4 linked regions of the Arabidopsis thaliana genome follow. The protein of the gene in region 2 purifies or fractionates together with the protein of the main gene of each other region. This does not show direct contact. Each region holds a gene or a part of one and is shown on either strand. Other genes may lie near its edges. The genes, in order: AT2G34840, AT3G09800, AT4G34450 and AT2G16200.

The links.
Region 1: the proteins of AT3G09800 (region 2) and AT2G34840 fractionate together in Arabidopsis thaliana (co-fractionation; one large-scale study listed by BioGRID). This does not show direct contact.
Region 3: the proteins of AT3G09800 (region 2) and AT4G34450 fractionate together in Arabidopsis thaliana (co-fractionation; one large-scale study listed by BioGRID). This does not show direct contact.
Region 4: the proteins of AT3G09800 (region 2) and AT2G16200 fractionate together in Arabidopsis thaliana (co-fractionation; one large-scale study listed by BioGRID). This does not show direct contact.

What each region holds. Positions count from the first base shown.
Region 1 is NC_003071.7:14,700,497-14,704,874, forward strand, and holds AT2G34840 (Coatomer epsilon subunit), read left to right. Parts: upstream 1-1,991; 5' UTR 1,992-2,106; coding exon 2,107-2,280; exon of another isoform or gene 2,281-2,372; coding exon 2,373-2,462; intron 2,463-2,545; coding exon 2,546-2,697; intron 2,698-2,790; coding exon 2,791-2,926; intron 2,927-3,015; coding exon 3,016-3,171; intron 3,172-3,334; coding exon 3,335-3,414; intron 3,415-3,575; coding exon 3,576-3,669; 3' UTR 3,670-3,875; downstream 3,876-4,378. Other genes in the region: MEE25 (NAD(P)-binding Rossmann-fold superfamily protein), read right to left, coding at 4,296-4,378. UniProt on the Arabidopsis thaliana protein: The coatomer is a cytosolic protein complex that binds to dilysine motifs and reversibly associates with Golgi non-clathrin-coated vesicles, which further mediate biosynthetic protein transport from the ER, via the Golgi up to the trans Golgi network.
Region 2 is NC_003074.8:3,005,983-3,010,595, forward strand, and holds AT3G09800 (SNARE-like superfamily protein), read right to left. Parts: upstream 2,629-4,613; 5' UTR 2,584-2,628; coding exon 2,366-2,583; exon of another isoform or gene 1,957-2,365; coding exon 1,926-1,956; intron 1,784-1,925; coding exon 1,624-1,783; exon of another isoform or gene 1,565-1,623; coding exon of another isoform or gene 1,513-1,564; coding exon 1,365-1,512; intron 1,271-1,364; coding exon 1,193-1,270; intron 1,043-1,192; coding exon 958-1,042; intron 809-957; coding exon 749-808; 3' UTR 531-748; downstream 1-530. Other genes in the region: UBQ8 (ubiquitin 8), read right to left, coding at 1-24; IDH-VI (isocitrate dehydrogenase VI), read left to right, coding at 2,771-2,962, 3,163-3,483, 3,572-3,733, 3,870-3,944, 4,141-4,250, 4,337-4,409. UniProt on the Arabidopsis thaliana protein: The coatomer is a cytosolic protein complex that binds to dilysine motifs and reversibly associates with Golgi non-clathrin-coated vesicles, which further mediate biosynthetic protein transport from the ER, via the Golgi up to the trans Golgi network.
Region 3 is NC_003075.7:16,468,984-16,476,772, forward strand, and holds the start of AT4G34450 (coatomer gamma-2 subunit, putative / gamma-2 coat protein, putative / gamma-2 COP), read left to right. Parts: upstream 1-1,752; 5' UTR 1,753-2,972; coding exon 2,973-3,018; intron 3,019-3,242; coding exon 3,243-3,391; intron 3,392-3,493; coding exon 3,494-3,607; intron 3,608-3,697; coding exon 3,698-3,898; intron 3,899-3,977; coding exon 3,978-4,079; intron 4,080-4,513; coding exon 4,514-4,621; intron 4,622-4,701; coding exon 4,702-4,935; intron 4,936-5,074; coding exon 5,075-5,325; intron 5,326-5,457; coding exon 5,458-5,629; intron 5,630-5,702; coding exon 5,703-5,858; intron 5,859-5,929; coding exon 5,930-5,980; intron 5,981-6,162; coding exon 6,163-6,300; intron 6,301-6,379; coding exon 6,380-6,577; intron 6,578-6,658; coding exon 6,659-6,790; intron 6,791-6,874; coding exon 6,875-7,048; intron 7,049-7,244; coding exon 7,245-7,484; intron 7,485-7,617; coding exon 7,618-7,789. UniProt on the Arabidopsis thaliana protein: The coatomer is a cytosolic protein complex that binds to dilysine motifs and reversibly associates with Golgi non-clathrin-coated vesicles, which further mediate biosynthetic protein transport from the ER, via the Golgi up to the trans Golgi network.
Region 4 is NC_003071.7:7,022,825-7,025,735, reverse strand, and holds AT2G16200 (structural molecule), read right to left. Parts: upstream 1,130-2,911; 5' UTR 1,077-1,129; coding exon 1,020-1,076; intron 1,013-1,019; exon of another isoform or gene 971-1,012; coding exon of another isoform or gene 956-970; intron 827-955; coding exon 632-826; 3' UTR 505-631; downstream 1-504.

The sequences.
Region 1 (4,378 bases), on a different chromosome or scaffold from region 2:
AATATGAAACGGCATGAACTTATATATTGTTTACTACAATAATTAGACCATACGGTGCAAAAATTAAAACAAAATAAGTCATGCATCCCTCGTTCTACGGTGACGCATGTTGATGAACGGATTCTATAAAAATAGTAATATTTAATATCTGTTATCCAGTCAGATATATTTAAAACAATATAAGAATTTAAATTGACAAAGAAAGATAAATCTGATTAACCACGGAATATGTGTGTTTAGATTGGTAACGTATGATTAGACACATCAATGCTATTTAAAAGATGCATATGATGATAACTTTTAGAAGTGAGAAGGCCTTTGGATTATTAGGGATTACAAATAGTAAACTTATTATAGATTACTTGAGAAAAGAGATTCATTAAAACAAAATTTGCATAAAGTAAGAACCAAACTAGAGGAGCTTATTCCAAGAAGATGCATTTTACATTTAAAAGGTGCATGTAATTAATGTCTGATAACCATAACTCATTAATTATTCTAATTCAGCTAAAAGCGAGCCTAAACCCATTACACAGAGAATTGCACGAATCACAAGTACACAAATTGATAGAACATTTAGACTTTAGAGGTTGATATTTTTTGATAAACTATAGTATTGATTTATGTTATTAATTGGGTTGTGTAGCACGAGGACTTCTTTGAACATGTGAAATGAATATTGACTTTACGTAAAATCGACCATGCCCTTTAAGTGTTCCTCAAGTTCATACAAAAACAACAGTCATACTCTTATATGTATATTATAACATGATTTAAATTTGAACTATGTTTATTTAACTATATCCTATATATAATTATTACGATTGAGAGATGAGAAAGTTTGTTACAGATGAAGAAGAAGATATTTTCCCCTTAAATTTCTGTAAATGTATTTTGTACAAGTATATATACGATGACAATACAACCGGTTAATATAACCCGCGTAATACAAAATCAATTAAACCGATAAATTAAATCAACACTCTCTGATATGACCCCTCAATATGAGGATTCGAAAATGTTGAGAATGCTCATCTTGGACTTTAGATGTTCAAACTGATGTGAGAACAAATGTTTAGCAAAATATCAGCTATTTGATCATCCGTGGGAACATGAAGCAGTTTAAGCTCACCATCATCCAACTTGTCACGCACGGTATGGCAGTCAATCTCAATATATTTCGTGCTCTCATGGAAGATATAATTGATTGCAATATAGATAACATCTGTACTGTCTGAAAACAAGATAAGAATCGAAGTAGTATCCGTTTAAGATACGAGCAATGTATGCAACCAAACCAACTCACAAGTAGCAAGAGCTAATGCTCAGTATCTAGAAATAACATGTTGCTTCTTAGATCGACATGAGATGATTTATGAAGAAATTTGAGCTTTGATGGCTCTAATACCATATTACGATCGAGAGATAAGAAAGTTTGTTACAGATGAAGAAGAAGATATTTTCTGATTAAATTTCCGTAAATGTATTTTGTACAAGTATATATACAATGACTATTCAACCGATTAACATCACCGTAATACAAAATCATCTAGACCGATAAAACTAACCTAACACATTCTGATAATAACAAATATGAATTTATTGATTTTCTTTTAATTAAGAATAGCTCGTTCAACCAAATGTTGACATCTTTTTTTTTTTTGAACACTACCAAATGTAGACATCTAGTACACTAATTCAACCATGTCTGTCGTCTAATACTATTTCGAGTAGTGTGTGATATGCTTAATATATAAAAAAAACTTGTTCACGTTTCTGATTTTAAAACATAGACTGACCAAAAGCTCACAACACACAACTAGATATAAAGCCCAGGAGTCAAACAAAGAACCTGATTCGTTATTTTGCCGCACAAGGCCCAAATCAAATTAGTGATGTTACTTGAACAGTTCAAAAAGAACTGGGATTATTATGCATTCAGTTTATAACTTAAGGGGTTATTATGTTATTAACCCGTTTACTTTCGTTTGGATTTTGGAATTAGACGCGAAGCTGTGAAATCTAGAAGAAGAAGAAGAAGAAGAAGAAGAAGAAGAAGAAGAAGAAGAAGAAGAAGAAGAAGAAGAAGAAGAAGAAGAAGAAGCAATGTCAGCCATGGGAGCAGGACCAGATCACCTCTTCAACCTCAGAAACAATTTCTATTTGGGAGCTTATCAAACGGCGATCAACAACAGCGAGATCGCCAACCTCTCGCCGGAAAACGCCGTGGAACGTGACTGTCTCGTCTTCCGATCTTACATCGCCCTCGGTAGCTATCAGGTTACTTCTCTAATCATATCGATAATGTCTTCTTCTTTAGATTCGATTACGTTTTGTTTTGATCTGTTCTTCCAAATTTTGGTGTGTATAAGCTTGTTATCAGTGAGATCGATGAATCAGCCGCTACTCCACTACAAGCAGTCAAACTCCTCGCTATGTATCTATCGACTCCTCAAAATAAGGTAATTACGGCTTTGATTCGTGTTCACGAAACATGTTGTAAAGAGATTCAAATGCTTATATGGAACGATTGTTATTGGTTCAGGAATCAACAATTTCAAGCTTGAAGGAATGGTTAGCAGATTCAACAATAGGAAACAATGATACATTACGATTGATTGCTGGTATTATTTTCATGCATGAAGAAGATTATAATGAAACTTTGAAGCATACTCATGCTGGAGGAACTATGGATTTGTAAGATTTTTTCGATTTTTATTTGGTGGATTGAGTATTTATACTGTGTTTTAAAACATGTTCTTAGATGGCTCATTGCTATTGTTTTTCTAGGTATGCCTTGAATGTTCAGATATTCATTAAGATGCATAGAGCAGAGTATGCTGAGAAGCAGCTTAGAGTGATGCAACAGATTGATGAAGACCACACTCTCACTCAACTTGCTAGCGCTTGGTTGAACCTGGCAGTGGTATAATGCGAAATATTCAATGTGTTCTGGCTTATTCTTTCAAAGAGTTGTGTATTTGCTTCTTATGCTAAGGCGTTATTTGATTTCAGGGCGGTTCGAAGATACAGGAAGCTTATCTCATTTTCGAGGATTTTTCTGAGAAGTACCCAATGACATGCTTGATCTTGAATGGCAAAGCTGTTTGCTGTATGCAAATGGGTAACTTCGATGAAGCTGAAACACTACTTCTTGAAGCACTCAACAAGGTAACTACAAATTAGGCTTGTGTACCTTAAATTTGCTCTGTACATTAGCATTCTCGGGAACAATATGAAACTAGGGACCTCTCTAAATTTCTCACACTGCACTTGTCTCTTGGCTTTTCTGTATATGGGGAAGTGTGTTTATACTAATTTGTGGTGATTGCAGGATGCTAAAGATCCAGAAACTCTTGCAAATCTTGTTGTGTGCAGTCTTCATGTCGGGAAGTCTTCTTCACGCCACCTAAGGTAAATTTTCATTATCTACTCTTATATTAGGCATCATTTGCCCAATCAATCAGTAGAACTCACTGAAAAGTTAATCGAGAGTAACTGTGTCCTTAATCCTAATAAAAACATTGGTCGGTCTCGTTTGTTAACTTCATTTGTATCACCTATCCTTCTTGCAGCCAGCTAAAACTTTCACACCCGGAACACATACTTGTGAAGCGTGTATCATCAGCTGAAGATAACTTCGAGAGAGCAGTTCAATTGGTCGCCTAAAGACTCTTCCATGGTTCAAGCTAAAAGACGTGCAGGATTTGTTTGCTTTACCGCATATTTTCACCGGGTTGGTAAATCTACCAGAACAACCATACTGTCTTGTCTTTTCGAAACCAGTATATGAACCAGCTTTTGCCATTAGATATGTTAAGTTACATTTCATTACTTGAAAATATCAAATTCCACCTCTCGCACTCTCAATTCCGTTTGTCATTTACTTAATTTCGAACCTAACCAATCCAGATCGTGTAACTCAACCCGAAACCTTGAGTGAATTCAACCGATCGTTTGAATCCAAACTAGAAATACCAAAACAAACAAAAGCTTCTCACTTGGAAATACTTCAATTTTTTTCCAACCAATGATTTTCACTTTTTACACAAAGAAGCGACATATGTCTTCCGTTAGGATTTTGATAAACCTCAATCACAATAAAATAGGTGATTGACATGGATGATATTTTATTAATCAATAATCTCATATATAATCTCTATATATGGATAAGATGAATACTATTCTACTAAGAATAAATCCATCTTCTTCTACTACCTTCACTACCATCTAGAATCAAGACTCTAATGAAGGAGTCCTTGAAGGGCAATGCTCACATACCTAATGCATAATGGTCAGTATGCAGAAACCAAGGAAGAAGATCCATAGCCACTGCGATGAAGCTTTTGCCATCTCCATGCCATCTTTAAACTTTCTT
Region 2 (4,613 bases):
CTTTGCGTAGATTTGAATTGTCATCTGTAAACAATTTTTTTTATGGGAGAGAAAGGAGGATTCTGAATGGTAAGAACCAAAAAGATCAGGCGAAAAAAGATGATGAGAAGAGATAGAAGAAACAAATACCTTGAGAGAGAGTAGTAGTACTTCACAGAAAACTTTTGCAGAACGATCGATTTAGGGTTTGAGTAAAAGCGTTTCTCAGTTTATATAGAAGAGGAAAAGTTTTGGATTTAAATCAGCTTTCGATAATTATAAAATATTCGACTTAATCTGTTAATTAAATAATTCGAAATTTAGTATTATCTTGTTTATCGCTTTGATTTTTTTATAAAATGCGAACCAAAACAATTCTTGCTTTGATTATTTTTATAAAATACGAACCAAAACAATTCTTGCTCTTCTGATATGGCGTGCACCTCAAAATAGAAGGTTCTGAGGGGTGGCACTTTAGTCTTTCTTCACCTTACAAGATCACTAGCATCTGAAATCGCTTGGAAAATGAAATATTCCTGAATTGCTTAGAGTTTAGACTTCAATTAGAGTAATAAAATTCCACTCTCCAAAAACATTCATGCATTGCACAAAGCTATATATATAATCAAACCTTTACTACCAAACTTTAAGAGTTTGTTTGCAGAATTCAATTATTAGAGACTTTCAAACCGAAAGACTCAAAAATAAAAAGTTGCTCAACATAGAAATTGAAGTCCATGCTTCTATTATTGTGTCGCCATGATGGAACTCATGTAAGCAGACTTCTTGCCAGATGCTCCCGAGCTGTTGCTAGCGCTTGTGTTAGTGTCTGCAATACCGAAATGTAAACAGAGGGTTCAAATTAGAAGTTCACGTTTGTGTTTATAGCCAAACCAGACCAAAGTTATAGCAAAACTAAATCAAGACTATTGCTTTTCCACAGGGAGATGTAACAATAATAGTCAAAAGTGTCGTTACCTGTTCAGAGAGTGAACCACTAGCTTCTGTGCTCTGCATTGCTACTTTCCCCGCAATGACGTTTGGATCCGTTTCAAGAACCACCCTTAACACATATTCCATAATAAGCCACAATCAGACAATAGCTAACTGCTAAGATATATGGGACAAGCTTAAAAAAGGTTGAGCAAATCTTTAGCATGCTTAAGACTTTTATGTAATTGTCGTGTAGGGCTAAACTATTAAACTTGCATACCCTTGATCGACCATTTCATCAAGGCATAGAAAGATGAGATCCAAGTTCTCAAGGGCTTCCATCTTTTCCACATTGCTCCTGGTAAAAAAAAAAAGGGATGCATCATACTTTAGTTGTGGAGATGGTTGATCAATAAATAAAGGCATATTCAGTTGTCAAGTCAAACAAATACCTCAGAAGAAGTGCAACAGCATCAAAAAAGCCTTGAAGAACAGAAGCTAAGATGAGCTCGTTTTCATTTTCACCTCCAGTAACAAAGAAGTGAAGGTCCTGGGCAAACTTATAGACAATAATATTGCTGTCCAACAGTGTGATCTCAGCTGCACATAAAACATCGATATGGCTATTTGAAAGAGATAAGTATATAAGCATACACGAAGTCAGGAAACATGATAGAAATTGTGTAGATGAAAAATGTTATGTAGTCTTACCTTCTGTACGAGCATTGGTCTTAGAGGTCTTTGAGAATACATACTTCTCAAAACTTAACTTGGCGGCATTAGTTGGCCAGTCATCCGAGTAATACTTGACAGCCACACGCTTTCCTTCAGAGTCTAGAAGAAGAATCTTCTTTACCAAAGGACAAGAATCCTATTCAATGTACATTGGAAAGTCAGTAATTAAGTTCCAGTCCAAAAAAAGAGTAAAACTCCTACAAAGCTGTATGATTGCGGCAACATACACACATTCTAACAGAATACGAAATACAATCATATAATGCATATGTACTTACAGGAGACATTGTTGTAAGACTTGAGATGTACCTGAAACAGTGACAAAAACAAAACCAAGTAGTATCTGAGTCAAAAACTTTCGATTTTAACAAGATATTAAAAACTTCAACCCACACTCACAGTTGTTCTAGTCACTGGTACAAAAGAGTACATATACTAAGATCATATGTGACATTATGTGTGTAGTGTAGTAAATGTAATGTTGATGATCTCCATGACAAGATAGCTATTATTTCAACCAGGGATTACAAATGGAGATTGACGTATTTAATAATAGACAACGAATCACCAAAATTCGGATTGATACATACATGCATTAATCACATAACTAAATCTTATCGGAGAATCACATAACTAAGCACAGATGAGAACGCAAACAAATGATTCAAGACTCAAATAGGCAGCAATGGATCTCGATAATCATAATCCAAAGGATCACCGGAATAAAAGATCGGAGAAGAAGTAATGGATTGGAGGATTCAAATGTGAAAAGCGCAAGATCGTCGAGACAGAAGAAATCGCCTCGGAGTGAGAGAGAGCTCCTTTCGCTGTTTCAGTGTCACACTGCTTATCGGGATCTGAATGCTTAATTTCATCTGACCGGTTTTTATAATTTATTGATATCCGGTTCATTTGACCATGGCCGTTTAAGAACATAGGCTGATGCCGTTTCTTATTTTCAGACACTAACTTTGTGCCGTTTTATTTCATGGAAATCGAAATGTTCTCTGCTTCTCTGCTGGAGCTAGAGAAGGTATAAAAGTAAACTTTTTCAGGTCCAACGCAGCAAAAAGTCTCCTCTTTCCTCTCTTTCTCTCTCTGCGTCCTTCTGAGGCTGGAAGCGATGACCATGACAGCATTTCTCGCGAGACGGCTTATCGGTAACGGATCGAGCCAGATTCTCGGGACTTCGAGTTCTAGCTCCGGTCCGTTCATTTCCGTTTCTAGGGCTTTCTTCTCCTCCTCCACTCCGATCAAAGCTACTCTCTTTCCCGGTGATGGGATCGGTCCCGAAATCGCTGAATCTGTCAAGCAGGTCCCTTTTTTCAATCTACTTTGGTGTTGTGTAATTTATGTTACCATATAAATTTTGTTATAGATTCTGGATACTCTTAGGAACCATAATGTCTGAATACTTTTTGAGACGTGTCAAGGGAGAGATTTGAATCATAAAGTTTGTTTTTTTTAGTTTATAGCTGATGGTTCTGAAAATGTTTTCCCTTTATGCTGATCCAGGTGTTTACTGCCGCTGATGTGGTTATTGATTGGGACGAACAGTTTGTTGGTACTGAAGTAGATCCTAGAACCAATAGTTTCTTGACATGGGATAATCTTCAATCTGTGCTTAAAAACAAGGTTGGTTTGAAAGGACCAATGGCTACTCCAATTGGAAAGGGTCACCGTTCCTTGAACCTTACTCTTAGGAAAGAGCTGAATTTGTATGCCAATGTTAGGCCTTGTTACAGTCTTCCTGGTTACAAAACCCGTTATGATGATGTTGATCTCATTACCATTCGTGAGAACACTGAAGGAGAGTACAGTGGGCTTGAACACCAGGTTAGTCTATTGTTCTGTCATTTTAGTGAATCTGTATCTAGTATCATTTTTAGAGCCATGTTGATGATTTGTCATTTTTATTTGCTAGGTCGTCAAGGGTGTAGTGGAAAGTCTTAAAATTATTACCCGTAAGGCGAGTATGAGAGTTGCCGAGTATGCCTTTCTTTATGCCAAGACTCACGGAAGGAAGAAAGTTTCTGCAATTCACAAAGCCAACATTATGCAGAAAACTGATGGTCTTTTCCTGCAGGTCAGCTCATTTTGGAACTCAGAATACATTAGCACTTCTCAATTAGGGGAACATAGCAATTTTTCTAGTCTCTCACTGGCTTCTTTTTCTTAACCTTTGTTCTGAGACAAGTTTTTATTTGCTTCCTGCTTTGCAGTGTTGTGATGAAGTTGCTGCGAAGTATCCTGAGATATATTACGAGAAGGTTGTTATTGACAATTGCTGTATGATGGTAAGCTATAACATGATATCCACCCTATCTTTTGTTCCAAATTATGTAAAGGTCAATCTCATTGTTAATTAAGTTAGTATTTGGGATAATCTTGTTGATTTTGAAGGTTAGATTTCCCAGCAACCCATACTTGGGTCTGCTTTTCGCTAATTTTACTTATGGAACAATGTGGGATTGATAATCTTAATTCTGACAGCTTGTGAAAAACCCAGCACTTTTTGATGTCTTGGTGATGCCAAATCTCTATGGAGATATTATCAGCGATTTGTGTGCTGGACTTGTTGGGGGACTAGGACTGACTCCTAGGTAACATTTGTTTCTTCGTCTCACAGATTATTGTCTAGTATGAAAATGAGGCAATCATCTTATGCTCTTATTATGTTTTGTTCCAGTATGAATATTGGGGAGGATGGTATTGCCCTTGCTGAAGCTGTTCACGGCTCTGCACCTGATATTGCTGGAATGGTTAGTCATCATTCTTAGATGTTATCATCGTTCTAAATTCGTTTGATGCATAGAGTTGTTGTTAACTTGTTAAATTATTAGAGTAAATAGGATTTAGACACTGCATTACAGATTTTGACAAATTTAAGTGAACTTGCCTACTTTTACCCTAAAACTAAGTATGATAGAAGCTGTTCCTGAGAGAAGATTCTCCATTACTCTCTT
Region 3 (7,789 bases), on a different chromosome or scaffold from region 2:
ATTATGAGATTCTAAAAGTGTGATACGGTTAGGGTTAGGCGTATCCTTTTGTTACCGTTGTGATAAAATTTCCTTTTTGTTTCTGCTACTCAAATAAGAAAAGGAAACAATCAAAATTTCCTTTTTTCATTGAACAAACGTGTACTTATAAATACACCCCTTCTCTCTTCTTCCTTGAGAAAAGTCTCCATTCTCTCTTCTTCTTCCTGGAAACCTAAACCACGTAAGGATTTGCTCTGAATCTAAATATTGACGTGGAGAAGACGCGATCTTACTAATTCTCCATTCTCTGCTTCAACTTCACCGTAAGATTGAACAAACCTTTACTTATATATACCTCTTCTTTCTTGAGAAATCCAAATTCTCCATTCTCTCTTCTTCTTCCAAACCAAAACCTAATTCTCCATTCTCTGCTTCAACTTCACCGTAAGATTGATCGGTTGATAAAGCGGCTCTTTTTGGTGATTGATCTCTGTTGTGACTACATCTTAGGTCAATTCAGATTGCTTTCATATCAAGTCTCTCCTAATTTCACAAGATCAAAGATCCCGGCCATGGATTCAGTTGTCGACGGCGAAGGAGAACACAAACGACGACTAAGGATGCGAAAGTGGGAAAGAGGGATATAACGAAGACATGGACAATGAAAGCAACGAGCAGTATAGAACCAAATCAATGGATCATGATCTGTGTTTGGTACTAGGTGTTTCCTTGGCGTCGACGAGATCTTTTGAAAATCTTGTGTTTCGTCGATATCACAAGCAAAGGTATTTTCTTTTTTCCTTTTCTATTTTTAATGATTCATTTTTTACTAAATAAAAATTTATTTTTAGATTTTTTTATTAAGTGTTAAAATTTTCAATTTTGTGTAAATTAATTTAAATTTTTAACACTTGTTTTTGTTTTTATTAAAAACTGTTTTTAAACCTATATTTTTATACTACTATTAAAGTTTTAAGGTTTTTCTTATTAAATATTAAATTTTTAAATTTTGTGTAAACTAATTGGATACATCATCCAATCCCCTAAGAGGTGTTCTAGGTTCAATAGATGGTTTACACATCATTTAAATTTTTAACACTTGTTTTTTATATTTATTAAATAAATGTTTTTAAACCTAAATTTTTATACTACTATTAAAATTTGAAGTTTTTTTTTATTAAGTGTTGAATTTTTAAATTTTGTGTAAACTAATTGGATACATCATCCAAACCCCTAAGAGGTGTTCTAGGTTCAATATGGTTTACACATTATTTAAATTTTTAACACTTGTTTTTCTTATATCAAAAATATGTTTTAAACCTTTATTTTTATACTACTATTAAAGTTTTAAGTTTTTTTATTAAGTGTTAAATATTTAAATTTGTGTAAGCTAATTGGATACATCATCCAAACCCCTAAATAGTGTTCTAGTTTCAATATGGTTTACACATTATTTAAAGTTTTAACACTTGTTTTCCTTATATTAAAAAATGTTTTAAACCTATATTTTTCTATTACTATTAAGATCTTAAGTTTTTTTTTTAATTTTGTGTAAACTAATTGGATAAATCTTAACTCCTAAGAGGTTAGGTTCAATATGGTTTACATATAATTTAATTTTTCTTATATTAAAAAATGTTTCTATTTTTATTTTACTATTAAGATTTTAAATTTTTTTTTGTTAAGTGTAAAAAATTAAAATTTTGTGTAAACTAATTGAATATAACATTCAAACCTGTAAGAGGTGTTTATAGGTTCAATATGATTTATATATAATTTAAATAGTTTGCTATTTTGTTTAGAATCAAAATATTTTTAAATGACATGTTGTAATAATTGACCAAAAGAAATTAGTGTGTGATTTTGTTGAAATGCAGAGTACAAAGCCTTAATTTATACCAAGTTATGGTATCTATAACGTATATGAATACCAAAATTTTATTATTTTTAATTGGTGTTGTATTTTATAATTCGAAATAATTAGGGGAACGGGCAAAACCTCTCTGTTCTCTCGCTTATATTTTTTTTAGAGAGAAAGCAAATCAGTTTCAACGATCGGATATTTTCTGGTGTTAGCCGTCCTGACTTTTTGGGCTTTCTGTCCGATATCACCGGCTCTGGTAGCGGTGTTGGTTGGCTCTAGTCCGGCAGCGTCTTGTTCACATAACCGGTGGTTGCTGGCTCTTGGTTTCTCTCGTCGATGTAGATCGATTTTTAATCTGTGTTTTTTTATTTTCATGTTTTGTTTTTAATAATTCTCATCTGAGACATGTTGGTGATAGAGTGAATGCAATCTCGCTTTCTAATGCTTCTTATCCGATCTGTTCTTTTTTAAGTTTTGATTTACAGAAATTTTTGGAGAAATTTGAGAATGATGTTGAAGAAAAGAAGTGGATTCTGTTGTTAATTATCATAGCCTTAAGCTGTTGTATATTTAACATGAGCCTCGATTGCTTTTTATCGGTGAAAAAACAAAAAGATCCATGTTCTATGAGACTATCGACGGTGATTCTTTCACCGAAATCGGTGCTCAGACGGCGAAAATGAAGTCGGTTCGCTTTAGAGTACTCATCTGACACGTATATTAATATATCGACATGTGGTTTGGGATAGAGTCAAACTATAGTTTCTTCTTCTATGAAAGACTCTCTGTTGGCCTATTTGGTCCTAAATCGTTTCTGTAATCGCGGACTTTTCTTTAAGCTTTGACTATCTTGATTAATACAATATTTCTCTTGGGACAAAAAAAAAATAATCTTAGTATTTCTTTAATATTTTTTGTTTGGGTATGGGCTATTGGGCCGCTTCGAAAAGTTCACTTTCTCTATCGATCTCTCACAGTTTCTGAGTTCTCTGACTCAAAAACATATAGTAGAAGAAAACGATTAGAGATCTTCTTCTTTCTCCTGTTGCATCTGAAGATAAAGGAAACAGAAAGCGCGAGATCTGAGTGACGGAGTAATTTCAAAGGGAGGTTTTCGAGATCAGAAATGGCGCAACCCCTCGTGAAGAAAGACGATGATCACGACGATGAGTGTATGTGTTCTCTCTTAATCTCCTTATAATTTTCGAATCAGCTGGTTTTCTGCAAAATGTAGATCCAGATGTTAAGCTTCTAGATCTGTTATCATTCAACAGTCGTGATTGTGATTTGGTTGTGTAGATCTACAATCTCAAGTCCGATTTAGTTTTGTTTACCGCATTCGATCCCGGTGTGAATTGCTTTGCTTATTTCGATTTCTGATTTTTTGTTGGATCAGTGGAGTATTCTCCATTCATGGGAATTGAGAAAGGAGCGGTTCTTCAAGAGGCTAGAGTCTTTAATGACCCTCAGGTTGATCCTAGACGATGCTCCCAGGTCATTACGAAGCTTCTTTATTTGCTTAACCAAGGGGAGTCATTCACCAAGGTCAGTTAATTTTTTTGCTTATACTGATTCGATGTCATGCTTATGGAGAATTGAATTATTGTGTTCTTATCCTCTCGCGATGGTTGTTTGTTTCATATGCAGGTTGAAGCAACGGAAGTTTTCTTTTCAGTTACAAAGCTTTTTCAATCAAAAGACACGGGTTTGAGGAGAATGGTCTACTTGATCATTAAGGAGTTATCTCCATCATCTGATGAGGTCTGTAAATTTTACTCAATTTCAATACGAACATCGTCGCACTTATTGTAGGTATATTTTCTGATAAGTTGTTGGTTTTTTCGCCCATAGGTTATCATCGTAACAAGCTCTCTGATGAAGGATATGAATAGTAAAATTGATATGTATCGAGCAAATGCTATCCGTGTCCTCTGCCGGATAATAGACGGAACCCTTCTCACTCAGATTGAGCGATACTTGAAACAAGCCATTGTGGATAAGAATCCCGTTGTTTCAAGTGCAGCTTTAGTCAGTGGGCTTCACTTGCTCAAGGTACCTTTTACACACCAAAACTATTAGGTAGCTTCTTAATTGTAATGTTATGCTTATATTCGTATATTGCTGTTTTCAGACAAACCCAGAAATTGTTAAAAGATGGAGCAATGAAGTTCAAGAAGGTATTCAATCCAGATCAGCCCTTGTTCAGTTCCATGCCCTAGCTTTGCTCCATCAGGTTAGTTTGTTGCATTATTATCACCGAAGTCGATTGGTCTATGTTTCTACTCTTTGTTTAATTAAACAGCCACTGAGAAGAAGTATCTCGGAAAATGAGAGGTGTTACTATGTGTATTGGACTAGATTCATAAATAATAAGTTTTCTGTAGCAGCATCGTAGCTCTTTACTACGGCCTTTTCCAGCAATTTTAGTTTCTTGTGAGGTTTAATCTGTGTCTGGAGTCTGTCTCAGATACTGCTGATTCTAGCATATGTAACTAATTAGGTTGGTTAGGACAACCTATTTATGTGTCTAAGATGTACGAGTTACCAAATGATATGTATTGCTGCTGTTACGTTGATTTAAAATGACTCCCAACATGATACACTCTCAATCTTTGATCTAATAACTGTCAATCTTTGATCAACTTGATAATCTTTCATCATATTCAGATACGCCAAAATGATCGCTTGGCTGTTAGCAAATTGGTTGGTAGCTTGACCAGGGGATCTGTCCGCTCTCCCTTGGCTCAGTGTCTTTTGATACGTTACACCAGCCAGGTTATTCCTCTCTTCTGTTTGATCATTTGATAAGTGGCTGATTGTATATGTGTTATTTAGCTCTGGTTTCTAATATTCAGGTTATCCGTGACATGGCCAACCACGGTCAATCTGGAGAACGTCCGTTCTATGAATTTTTGGAGAGTTGCCTGCGCCATAAGGCAGAAATGGTGATCCTTGAGGCTGCCAGGGCAATTACTGAGCTTGATGGTGTGACAAGCCGAGAACTGACTCCAGCAATCACTGTTCTTCAGCTCTTTTTGAGTTCCCCCAGACCAGTGTTGAGATTTGCCGCTGTCCGGACTCTGAACAAGGTTTGCAATGCTTTCAACTGTTCTCTTTGTACATTGACACCGAAATGATGTTTTACTATTCTGGGTAGATTCATCATTACCTTTATCATGAGGATGAGGAGATATTTCACTGTATACTAAACACAAGTTTGAACCACAGGTTGCAATGACTCATCCTATGGCTGTCACCAACTGCAACATTGATATGGAGAGTTTAATCTCTGATCAAAATAGAAGCATTGCTACACTCGCAATAACCACACTATTGAAAACAGGGAACGAATCAAGTGTAGAACGTTTGATGAAGCAGATAACTAATTTTATGTCAGATATTGCTGATGAGTTCAAAATTGTGGTCGTGGACGCAATAAGATCGTTGTGTGTGAAATTCCCACTGAAATACAGATCCTTGTAAGTAAAGTTTTAGGGTTTGTTATTTGTAGTTTTGGTCTCGAGCATTTCTATTTTTTTGAATGATTAAATATGTTATGGTATCTTTTTAGCATTTGGCTTATGATTGATCTATCACCTTTTCATTTGTAGGATGACCTTCTTAAGCAACATTCTTAGGGAAGAAGGTGGATTTGAGTATAAAAGAGCAATAGTAGATTCTATTGTGACCATTATCAGAGATATTCCGGATGCAAAGGAAAGTGGACTGCTTCATCTATGTGAATTCATTGAAGATTGTGAATTCACATATCTTTCAACACAGGTAATTATTCCATCATCCATCTGGGGTTGCTATTAAAAACTTATGTGTTATTGAAATGTTTATTCTCGCACAGATCCTTCATTTTCTGGGAATTGAGGGGCCTAACACCTCAGATCCAAGCAAGTATATACGATATATATATAATCGTGTGCATCTAGAAAACGCCACTGTCCGGGCTGCTGCTGTTTCCACACTTGCAAAGTTTGGGTTTATGGTTGAATCCTTGAAGGTATAGTCATCATAACAACCATTATTTTTATTTTCCGTTTATCTTCTTTGACTGATGATAATGCTCGACAGCCCCGGATTACTGTTCTATTGAAGCGTTGCATCTATGACAGTGATGATGAGGTGCGTTCCTAGTCTTAGTCTAGAAAAGCATTGCTGTTTCTGTATGTCTGTTTGTTTTGAGTCGTTGCATCATCAAACATGCATGCATGTGTTTGCCTCTGTAAACATTTTCGGATGCATGCAATGCAAGTTGTTTGATGATTCCTTCCTTGCTCATGAGTCAGACATCTTTTTATCTTAAGGTCCGTGATAGGGCAACACTATATTTGAGTGTTCTTGGTGGTGATGGTACTGTTGACACTGATAAAGAGAGCAAGGATTTCCTATTTGGTTCCCTGGAGGTTCCTCTAGTCAACATGGAAACTAGTCTGAAGAATTATGTGAGTTAATCTATTTCTCGGTTTTCTCCTTTTCAATATTCTTAGGACATCAGTTATCTTATATCTGGGATTCCTGCAGGAGCCCTCTGAAGAAGCTTTTGATATCAACTCCGTACCTAAGGAAGTTAAATCTCAGCCCCTTGCAGAGAAGAAAGCCCAGGGTAAAAAGCCCACTGGTCTTGGTGCACCACCAGCTGCACCTGCTTCTGGTTTTGATGGCTATGAAAGACTTCTCTCATCCATTCCAGAGTTTGCCGCCTTTGGAAAACTTTTCAAGGTTAGGGGCTGATTTGTCTTCTGTGTTATTCTAATGTTAATGGCTTATCTTGTTTGCTTTAACTTGTACTTTCTTTTTCAGTCTTCTTTACCTGTGGAGCTAACTGAAGCAGAAACAGAATACGCTGTCAATGTTGTTAAGCATATCTTTGACAGTCATGTGGTGTTTCAGTACAACTGCACTAACACAATACCAGAGCAGTTGTTGGAGAGGGTACTGAACATTGGTGTAGAATATTAGTGTCAAGCATATCTTATCTTTCTTTCCTCATTTAATTAATTTGGCATGGGGTTGTAGGTCAATGTCATTGTAGATGCTTCAGAAGCTGAGGAATTCAGTGAAGTAACTTCAAAGGCCCTAAACTCACTTCCTTACGATTCACCCGGTCAAGCCTTTGTGGTTTTTGAGAAGCCAGCTGGGGTCCCTGCTGTTGGAAAGTTCTCCAACACATTGACTTTCGTTGTTAAGGAGGTACATGTTAAATAGGCTATTCACTTCCATCTTTTTATTTACTTACACTGAAAATGACCCCATAATACTTTGTGGAGAACTCTTATAAACAACGACTCATTTGGAGAGGAGTACCAGAACGACTCAAATTAATCACAGAAAACAAAGAAAACTCTCTAACTACATTGTTTGTGCTTTTATGAATGTGTTAAAACAGGTTGACCCAAGCACAGGTGAAGCAGAAGATGATGGAGTAGAAGATGAGTACCAGCTAGAGGATCTTGAGGTTGTAGCTGGAGATTACATGGTGAAAGTGGGTGTCTCCAATTTCAGGAATGCGTGGGAAAGCATGGATGAAGAAGATGAGCGTGTAGACGAATATGGCCTTGGCCAAAGAGAGAGTTTGGGAGAAGCTGTAAAGGCTGTCATGGATCTTCTTGGCATGCAGACTTGTGAGGTTAGTCTCTTCCACTTTTTTCTCATACTCTACTGAGACTTGAGGGCTAAAATTATTGTTGATAAAGTCTTTTTTGAGTATATGACCATTTGTTGTGTTCCTGAAATTGAAACTGACACTGGATAAATAACAGGGGACGGAGACAATTCCGCTCAATGCAAGGTCACACACGTGTCTATTGTCAGGTGTGTACATAGGCAACGTGAAAGTGTTAGTGAGGGCACAGTTTGGAATGGACAGCTCAAAGGACATTGCAATGAAGCTGACAGTTAGAGCTGAAGACGTTTCTGTCGCCGAGGCCATTC
Region 4 (2,911 bases), on a different chromosome or scaffold from region 2:
GCAGTTTCTTTTAGTTCTCTGTCTTAATCTTGATTATTTATGCTTAACATTTTCAACATTGTTTCTTCTGGATGAGAATGGTCCTTTGTTCTTTTTCAACATCTTGTACTGTTTGTCATTTGTGTGTGATGGGACTAATTTATTTCATGATGACACTTTGGACTCAAATACTTAATGGGATTTGTATTTGTAAAAATGTTCACTGATTTTTCACTGTAATTGAAGGAAACATTCCTTCAGTTCTATCATTTTTTGAAAGGTTGAAACTTTTGGTTCTCTGTAACAATGGGTCTCTTGAGCTGTCTTTGAAAGATGTAACAGTCCTTGTGGGCTTTGTTGCTTCTCTAAGTTTTTTTTGTCTGAATGTGAATCGACTTTAGCAACTGAATCGATTGAACAGGTTACTAGTTATTAGTATTCTTCTGCCACCGTACTATAATTAAACAAACTTGTGTGAATCAACGAAAGAAGAAACGATCCACTACGACATATCCTCAAATAAGCTCATCAAAAGAATATTTATACTAATGGTAAAAAGTAGCAAACTCAAAAAAATGTTTAGAGAAATGACAATAAGCACTTTTCAAGACCAAAAGCGAAAGGGAAAGATCCCTGCGAACCTTTGATATGTTTAGCCGTTAGCAACAAGTGCGTGAATCGCATCGCTGACAGATGGATCCTCTGCTCGAACAGCCAGTTTCATTACAATTTCCTTTGAGCTGTCCATTCCAAACTGTGCCTTCACCAACACTTTCACGTTCCCTATATACAAACCTGATGGTAAACATGTGTGTGATCTTGCGTTGCTTGCAACCGTCTCCGTACCCTGAACCCGAAACCCCCGAAACAATTATCATAAGAATTAAGAAGAACAACAATGCCAGATCATATCTCAGTTATGATTTTTTTTTATGCTAATGAAAAATGTATTAACGTATGAAGAAGCGCGCCTAACCTTACAAGACTGCATGCCAAGAAGATCAGTTACAGCTTTTACAGCTTCCCCTAAACTGTCCCACTTTTAACAGGGATGTGCAGCTTAATTCCTTTAGCTCCAATGTTTTATAAAGATCCATTTTGTCTCCCGCAAAAGTGATTCATTTCCCTCTTTCGAAAACAAGCATTATTAGCCGTCCGTGGTGAATGTGTATGGCTACTTTATATAACTAACTCTGTTTCAACTTGAAAGAAAATGCCACCACTTTAATAAAGAAACACTAAAGGAAAACAAATGATACGAATGATAGTTTTTTATAAATTTTTCTCTTTCATTTTACGTCTTACTATTGCGGCGGCATGTGTAACCTTGTTAACAAATTTTACCTGCCATATTAAATATATTTATTGTTTTGCATTAACAGTTTACAATATCACTTTTTTGTAATAAAACAAAATTTACTTAAACTACATATAAATAAAAACAGTGGAAGTTTAACCAAAATATATTATATTTTATTATGTAAACTATGGTTTTTAAAGTTAATAACTCACATGATTGTGGCACGTGTCAAATCTATCGACCAAATATAGATATGAATTAAATAATTGATTTTTTTTCCTTTACAGAAATAGCAAAATTAAAAAATAAAACAAATTTACATATACTAATTTATATAATTATATCTAAAAAAAAATATTTTTCTTAACCAAAAGATAAATTAACAAATTTGTTTTTATATGTGTTATTGATCAATTAAAATTTAACATTTATTAACAAAATTTGTATTTATCATTGTATTATAGTATTTTCATTCGTTATATTAGATCAAAAAATATTAATGAGTTTATGAGAATAAATTTTGAATTACTATGCTTTATTCGAAGAATTATAAAGCATCATATCATGTGATAGAAGGTCTTGCATCCTTTATAAATTATAACCGTCTAGTTACACCTATTTAGTGCGAACCATTTTTTCGTGAAAGGTATGCAATTTTATTAAAACACTAGATGTTGACCTGCGGTACACCGCGGGTCTATATTTTCTTTAAAAAGTTATTTTTTATTTTAATTAATATTATTTATATATGAATAACATATTCAAGAGATATATTACGGGTCTATAATTTTATTAAATAAAAATTGATTTTTTTGTCTTTAAAATGATTTATATATATATATATAGGCCATTGTTTTTTTAATGTATGATACACCTTGTGACGATTTTTATAACTAAAATTTATATTTAATTTTAAATTGTATCTGTTGTGTTAATATTATTTATTTTGTTTAGTGTTTACAATTGTATAATTATGTTTTGATTGTTAATTCTAGGGTTTCACCCATAATATATCATCCCGTAATAATATCGATCAAGACATATCCCATATAACCATGTCCCATGAAGTTAAACATCATTTTATTATTTTCTTATAAAATTCAAATACTATAAATATTTGAAACTTCAAAAACAAAATTAATATTGATCTAAACTTTATAATTGTATTTTGATTATTATATCTAAGATTTTGTCATAGTTTTATAAACTTCAAATATTTATAATAATAGAACTTCAAAAAAACTTATTTCGATCCAAACTTCATTTAATTGTTATATCTAGAACTTTATATGTGGTATATCGTCCCATATTAACATCTTTTTTAAGTATTTATAATGTTTAATTTTATAATATTCAAACTTTTTATAACGTTCAAATATTTATAATATTTAAATCTTCATAAAAGTTTTAAAATTATAAATATTTAAAACGTTGTAAAGTTTAGTATTTATAATATTTTGAAACTTTTTAAAGTTTTGAGTCCTTAAAAAAAATACCGGAGTAAACCGGTTAACATTCTAAATTTTGGATGCCTGATAAATCAAGCTTTTTGCTCATTCGTATTAAGAATCATCTTGATCCTTTTTATAGTATGACTTTGAACCATTGCCCATTTTTGTAAGCAATGTACAA